Notamacropus eugenii: one gene and its partner. The protein of the gene in region 2 interacts with the protein of the main gene of each other region in a biochemical or structural test. Links are inferred from orthologs where the notes say so. Each region holds a gene or a part of one and is shown on either strand. Other genes may lie near its edges.

The links.
Region 1: the proteins of CFTR (region 2) and NHERF1 form a complex in vitro, tested with the Homo sapiens proteins (9 studies listed by BioGRID and IntAct, with this or other methods). The link is inferred for Notamacropus eugenii from reciprocal best matches to the Homo sapiens genes CFTR and NHERF1.

The regions. Positions count from the first base shown.
Region 1 is NC_092873.1:340,487,850-340,491,593, reverse strand, and holds the start of NHERF1 (Na(+)/H(+) exchange regulatory cofactor NHE-RF1), read right to left. Parts: upstream 2,386-3,744; 5' UTR 2,168-2,385; coding exon 1,703-2,167; intron 1-1,702. UniProt on the Homo sapiens protein: Scaffold protein that connects plasma membrane proteins with members of the ezrin/moesin/radixin family and thereby helps to link them to the actin cytoskeleton and to regulate their surface expression. Necessary for recycling of internalized ADRB2.
Region 2 is NC_092874.1:135,437,357-135,441,100, reverse strand, and holds the start of CFTR (cystic fibrosis transmembrane conductance regulator), read left to right. Parts: upstream 1-967; 5' UTR 968-1,804; intron 1,805-2,040; exon of another isoform or gene 2,041-2,192; 5' UTR 2,193-2,218; coding exon 2,219-2,271; intron 2,272-3,744. UniProt on the Homo sapiens protein: Epithelial ion channel that plays an important role in the regulation of epithelial ion and water transport and fluid homeostasis. Mediates the transport of chloride ions across the cell membrane.

The sequences.
Region 1 (3,744 bases), on a different chromosome or scaffold from region 2:
ACCAACTTGAGTCTCGCTCCTGCCCTCCCTTCCCTGAACATGTGCCTTCAGCAGAGCCAACCTGGCACAGACAGGAAGTAAGAGCCTGTGGAGGTGGAGGATGGTGTTCCCAGCACCCAGCTAAATCCAGGAAAAGGTTCCTGGCGACCTAACCTGTTGGCCCTCTCCACCCTGCCCCCAGTCTCCCTGCACGGTGCCCTTCCTCCACTCTGAGCTCTGCTCAGTCTCTAGTGCCAGCACTGTCCACATTAGCCAGCAGGAAACCATCTGGTTGCAAGTTAGCAGTCCAATTTTCTGGGAGACCAAATGCTGAGGACCTAGGTTCTGTTCCTCCTAGGCTGGGCACCAGCACTGAGCCCCTGGAATTCAGCAAGGCCAGGGACCCACCCCTTCCTGACTCTAAAATCTCCCATAATCTCAGGGGACAGATAACTCAGAACAACAACTCTATATTTCTCCAGCCCCCATCCTCCACCAGCTGATCCAAATTGGGATCATTTGGGGAAACACCAAACATGGAAAAAGCAGCAAATTATCCCAGCTTGTTTGCCCTGGGAAATCCCCCACTTTCCCTTCACCAGGTCCCCTCCAAGCCTCTTTTCCCAAGCTTCCCAGATAAAGACTTCTGCTTACTTCTCACATTCCTAAGACTCATAAATCCTCTTCGGTGGCTGTATCGCTACCCTGGAGCCTCACTTCTTTTCTCCTCTTCCCCACCCCCATCTTTGGCCTCTGCCCCGTTCCAATCCCTTCCTGCCCCAAGGAAGTGGGGTTTGTTCCTTCTTTCTTAGAAGCTGCCTCATACTTCGGGAGAGATGAAGTCCAACCTGACTGAGGTTAATGATACACAAGTTACGCTCCCCCCTACTCTCTCCTAAAGGTTAAAAGAAACAAAACAACCTTTTCCAATTTCCCCCTTTTCTCTATATTGCCCCCCCCCCCGGTTCTACACACACACACAGACACACAGACACACAGACACACAGACACACACACACACATACACACACACACACACACACACACACACACACACACACACACACACACACACACACACACACACACACACACACACACACACACACGCGACTGTGGCTCCTTTTGGGGGACAGGATGAGGATGTATATTCCTCTAGCTCGCTCTTGCAGTCTCTGCTGGACTCTCCAGGCATCCCTGAACTCCAGTTCCCACCCACCTGTGGCTGCAGAGAGGAGGCTCAGGGCCAACACACACACAGACACAGACAGACAGACACACACGCACGCGAGGGGGCAGTGACAGCGCCTGTTCCCCGCTGAAAACAGGCTTCCACCCCTCCACTCTTTCGGTTGCAGCTGGGGGGTGGGGGGCTCCCTGTTAGAGAACAGATGGGGAGTGGGGCAGCGGACATAGGTTTGTGCTTGAAAAGGAGCCGACCTCATCAACTTCCCTAAGAAAGAGGCGGCAGCCGGTCTGCTTCAGACGGGACCAGGGTGGGGGCGAGGGGACAGGAGCAGGGACAATCTGCTGAGAGACACGCGTCCGCCGGGCCAGCAGCAGCGGAAACAGCCTCCCTATACGCGGGCTTTGGCTTCAGAACGAAAACAGCGGCGAACTGGGGGCTACGGCACGCGGCTCTACGCCAAAGACCCCAGGGGGCCTCCCCGAACCTCCTTTCCCCTCCCCCTTTGGAATCCCAGACCCGCGAGGAGTGAGTTACCTGTTCGGGTGGGCTCTTCTCTTCCCGCGGCTCCCCGGCCGCTCCGGGCTGCTGCTGCTCGCCTCGCTCCTCCCGCTCCTCCGCGGCCCTCTGCGGGGCAGGCTCGGCTGGCCGCTCCCCGGGCTGGCCGCGCAGCAGTTCTTCCCGCACCGGGATGCCGAGCTTCTGCAGGCGCTCGTCCGTGTCCGGGTCGACCACCAGCAGGCGCACGGAGCTGAGCGCCGCTCGGATGCGGCTCACCACCTGCTGGTGACTCTCCTGCTCCACGTTCTCGCCGTTCACCTCCACCACCCGGTCCCCGGCCAGCAGTCCCGCCTTTTCGGCCGGCGAGCCCGGCTCCACAAGCCGGATGAACTGTCCCACTTTGCCCTTCTCGCCGTGGAGGTGGAAGCCGTAGCCATTCGGCCCCTTCTCCAGGTTACAGAGCCGGGGCAGGGGGCTCCCGGAGTCGCCGTCTGCGCTCATCTCGCTCCGGAGCAGCTCGGCGGCTTGCGGATGGGGCCGGTTCACCAATCACCCCCTCCCACCCCCCTGCCCTAGGAGGCGGGGATCCGGGATGAAACGCGGCGAGGAGTCCCCGGCTCGGGAGGAGGGAAGAGGTATCGGGGGAGGAACTCCTCTGAGTTCCGAAGTAAAGGGAAGGGACCAAGGCCAGGGCCGCCCAGGGTCTGAGCTTTTCAGAACCTGTCACAGCCCCTTATCCCGGAGGAGGGGCGGCTCCGGCCCAATTAGGAACCGGCGGAGAAAGGGGGTGGGGGGGTGCTCTAGCTGGTTGAACAAAGCGAGCCAATGGGGACGTGGAAGGGGCGGGGGGGGGTTGCTAATTGGCACTCCGAGCCGGGCGGAGGAAAAAGTGCTAGAGAGGTGCTTTACAAAGCTTCAGCTAGGCGGGGGTGGAAGGTGTGGCATCTGGAGTTGGAGGGAAGGAATCACAGCTGGGCTCCCTTAGCAGCGCCGACGCATCTGCCTCAGCTGGATTCCGGATCTCGGAAGCCTGGCTCCTGGTCCCTGATGAATGGTTTCGAAGGACTGCGGCTATTGCGGCCGACCTGCAGCTAGGGGAGAGGCTGGAACCTGGGACGCTGAAAGTCCCGGGAAAAGGGTGTTCAGGTTTGGCCTTGGGTGTAGTTTGTATCAGATTGTGAGATTAGTGCGGTGAATCGGAAGGCCACCTCTATGGACAAATCGCTTTCCCTTCCAGGGACAGCAAACTCTCAGAAAACTTTAGTACTAAGGACACATGGCCTAGCCACCCACTTCTTCCTCCCTAGAGATGTTTAAATAACGACATCCTTTAAGTTACCGAAGCTTTTTGGAACCACAATGCGTGTGTGTGTGTGTGTGTGTGTGTGTGTGTGTGTGTGTGTAGGCACCGGCCTAAATTCTTCTGGGGCGGGGGAGGGGGAAGCTAATCCCCCCTCTCCCCCAACCCAGGTACTTCTCCAAGGGAAAAGGAGCCCAGAGGGTAATGTGGTTTTTCCCGCCGAGAAAACGGAGATTGCTAGGTTGAGGAATGGATCTCTCATCTAATCTGACAAGGGGAAAGGGGAGGGAGGAGGTAGTGATGTGATCTGATGGGGCCTGTTAAGGATCAAGATGATAGTCTGAAGAAATAAGTGAATTCGAGGTAGAGCCAAACACAGCTTGGATTATAGCCAGGTTAGACAAAATTCCCAAAGCTGATTCCACAGGAAAAATGACCTGGGGCAAAAAAAAGCACACTTTCCCCTACAGGTACATTACCCATTGCCCTCTTGGGGAATCTTTAATCCTGATGCCAGCCAGGTTGCCAGGACTATCTGAAGTATCCATTCCCTTGGCCTTGTTGTCAGCAGCTTCCTGGGACTTCTTGGAATCATGAGGAAAAGGGGGAAAAGCCTGGCCCTGGCCTCTGGATTTTCCCCATGCAATCTGCCTAGTTAGCTTCATATCCCCAGGAGGAAGAGGTAGAGCCCACTGCCTCCCACCAAACCCTCTTCAAGGAATTCGTGGGACTTGATATACTCTCCAAAATACTGCAGTTTAATTCTGAAAAACACACA
Region 2 (3,744 bases):
TGAATTATACTTAATTATGTACTTATATTGAATACCCCCTCAATCCCAGTAAAATGTAAGCTCCTCAAGGCTAAGGACTATGACATTTTCATCTTTGTATTCAGAGTGCCTACCATAATACATTTTAATGTAGTATTGGGAGTGATGCATGTTTGTTGAAATTGGTCTCTTTTATTTCTTCTACTTAGTCAACTTCTATGAATCTCTTTTGAATCAATATTCCTAATTCCTTTATTATCACTTGCTCCTTGGCAGCCAAGAGGAACTGTATACTTGTCGGTTTTGAAACTTGTGCAGTACACATGGTGGGTCACACTTAGTTGTAAAGTAAACAGCCAGAGAGGGTGAAAAGGGCATTTAATGAGCCCAATTGACATACCTGGGAAAAGTAAATAGTAAAAATATAGCTTCAAAGTTTATGTCCAGGAACTCTTACTGGAGGGAGGGAAAGCCTGCTTGAGAAGTTTAGCAAGGGAATAGGAGTCAGAAATATTGACCCCATTTTTGTCTCCGCTGCTGATTTGGTGTCTGACTTTATATGAATATTAATCTGTTATTTTCCCAGCTGGCAAAAAAATACAATGATACTCCTTTGTAAAAACACTTTAAGATTTAAGAAGAAAAAGGGTATTATTGAAATGTAAACCATGCATTCATTATTTTAAATACATATGACTAATTCCTTCACTGGCATTATACAATGAAGATTATAGCCATACTTCACTGGGATATATGTAAATCAACAATCCAATAATTTCAAAGTAAACAAATTTGCTGAAGAAACAACACAAATAATACTCAACAAACTTTCTCCCATTCCAATTTGTTCAACTCAAATGTCAGTGCGTACCTTTTTTTTTTTTTTTAACAATACCTTTGGAGAATTTACCAAAGGTGTGCTTGGCACTTTAAAAAAAATTTATAAAAGGAAGGAAGAAAGAAAGACAAGGAAAGGAACTCACGCATCAGAACTCAAGGCAGTACAATGCTTTCGAGAACTTCCTAAAAGTGAAGAATTGTGATTTCTTCCATGTATTTTTTTTCTTTCAGGATCCCTGGCAAAGTTGTGCCGAGTTTGCGCTTCAAAGACGTTTGATTGCTTTCAGGGTCAGTCAGGTTTTGCTTACAGAAAGTGAACTGAGAAATCTGACGGAGGACAGGTACGTTTACCTAGTGCAGTGAGTAACCGTGGATATGGAGAGAGACTGCCAACCAAGGCTGCTGGAAACTGACGAGCCATGAACAGATCTGAGGGGGGGGCAACAGAACCAAATCTACACCTACTTCGGAGGAGGATTTTCCTTTTTAAATAAGCAATTTTTCCAAATTGGGTTGCTAAAGACTTTTGAATCTTCCCTTGAAAGTCTGAAGCAAAAAAAGGCTCGTTTTTTTTTTTTTTTTTTGGTAAAGAAACTCATTAACATCAACACACCAAACACCCCCACAGGAACCTTTCAGCTCCATAAGCCTGCATTTTAGAACAGGTAGAGACCTATTTTTGTGGCTTTTTTTTTTTTCCAAAATGCACCACGATTAATAATAATTGGCAAAGGATTTTAGAGAAGAGGAAGAGGAGGAGTAGGAGGAGAGGCAGGTAGAAGCCTAGGGAAACTGGCAAGTAACCTGTCCTTAGTACCAAGGAAACTGGGCGAGTAAGAGTGCTCTACAAGTTTTCCCAAGCGACTGATTATTTGCCCTAACTTTGCTTCGTATTGCCCCCGGGAGCTTCGGAGAGAAGGGGGAAGACGCAGAGAATGTGCCAAGATCTCGGACTGCACTGGAGGTGCAAGGTAGCGAAGAAGAGGTAATTCTCGGTCTGGGAAAGAGCCCGCTGGGGGCAAGGGAGGCGGAGTAGAGAATTAGGGGGCGGGAAAGGCGGGAGGCTCAGAAGCCACTAGAGAAAGGGGAAGTGTGGAGTGGGGTGGGGAAAAAGCAGCCGGGGCGAATGTGAAGCTGGACTGCCTGTGGCTCGCCTTTTAACCTGGGCATCCGGGGAGGAGGAGGGGAAAGGGGAAAGAGGTGTAAGGGGGCTGGCAAGGAGAGAGATGGGTGGGGGGAGTCTGTAGGAGGTGGTACATGACATCACAGCAACCCAAGTGAATAAGGTGGGGAGAGAGAAGGCAGCAGGAACAGAGTGGACTGGGTCGGAGAGTTTGGCAATTAAGAGTCACCACTGCAGTCTACTCCTGCAGGGCACCCCGGCAGCCCCCGAGGGATCATGCAGAGATCACCCCTGGAACAGGCAAATGTCCTCTCGAAACTTTTCTTCAGGTAAACGTCTTGCTAGTCATCCGTGGTAATGACATGTGCCTGAGGGAAGAGGGGAGTGTGCAGGTTTGTACCAGGGGTTTGGGTCTAAAGGCATTGTTTTTTAATTTGTTTATTGTGAAGTATAACCTTTGAGTGTTTCTCTAAGAAAGGTTCATTTTTCTACCTAGAGACAGCTGAAATGAGAAGGGAGATTAAAAAAAACAACGTGAAAGCAGGCTAGCAGAAATGCATGTGTATTGAGAACAGTTAGGTGAGCTCCCCTAGTTGCAAGACCCTATAAACCTGGGTTTCCTAACTATCTCTCTCTCTGTGTTTCTCTCTCTGTCTCTGTCTCTCTCTCTCTGTCTCTGTCTCTGTCTCTGTCTCTCTCTCTTTCTCTCTGTCTCTCTGTCTCTCTCTCTTGGATCCATTTCGCAGTCTGGTGAAGCTTATGGACCTGTTCTCAAATTAAGATTTTTGAATAATTTAAGGAAATGTTATTCATATACATTAGTGAAATTAAAGATGTAATTATTTTCCTATCCAAGTTCATGGATCTGAAATCTATCTATGGCCCTTTTTTAACTGTTTTTAATAATGCAGTATCTGTTAGAAGCTAAAATTCAAAGGAGCTACTTAAACACTGACTTACCCTATGGTTAGCGTCTTTGATTTTTCCAAAGGAAAGTTATTTACCAAGTGGTTAATAACTAATGATTAAGATATTTCTCCTTTACATATTTAGAGATTTCAAAAACTCCCATATCTATTTTGTTGCAAATGCAGCTAAGACATTGTGTACTGCCATTTGAGGAAGAATATTGAATTAAACACATCTTTTTTTGATGGTGATGAGGAGGAAAACTTTTCTTTGACAGAGGAAATTCTGTTTGCCTCAAAGTACATTTGTCTTTTGAATAATGAAAGAAAATTATTCCAGTTTCTAACATGGGGAAAGCTTAGTTATGCTACTCATGAATTGGAGAAGAGTTCATTGTTTCCATGGAAACAGGAACGGGCAGAGCAATATACTGAATTGTAGGTATATCCAACTAATATTTAATAAATTATTCTTTTGTTCTTGTGTGTGAGATAAGCTATGAAAGTTGGAAGTATCATTTAGTAAGGGTTTTTAATGCTAAGTTTTAGGTTTATAGTCTTAGAGTTTAACTAAATAGCTCTATTTCAGATGAAAAGTACTTCTAAGATGGATGTTCAGTTGCTCTCTTTCATTTTCACTTTTTCCTCAATGAAATAATAAATACAACTACTTTGATGGAAGTTATCTTACTCAATTTTCCAAAACCTTTTATTCAAACATTAACAGAATTTGATAACCAAAAGCAAATCAAATATGAATGTATATCTATATATAGTACTTAGTGTATATGTGTATATATGTGTGAATATGCATTTTAGAGGGGGGAATGTTTATTCTCATATCCACCTTGTATCACCCTTCCTAATATTTAATTTTATGTATGTGTCAGGGGA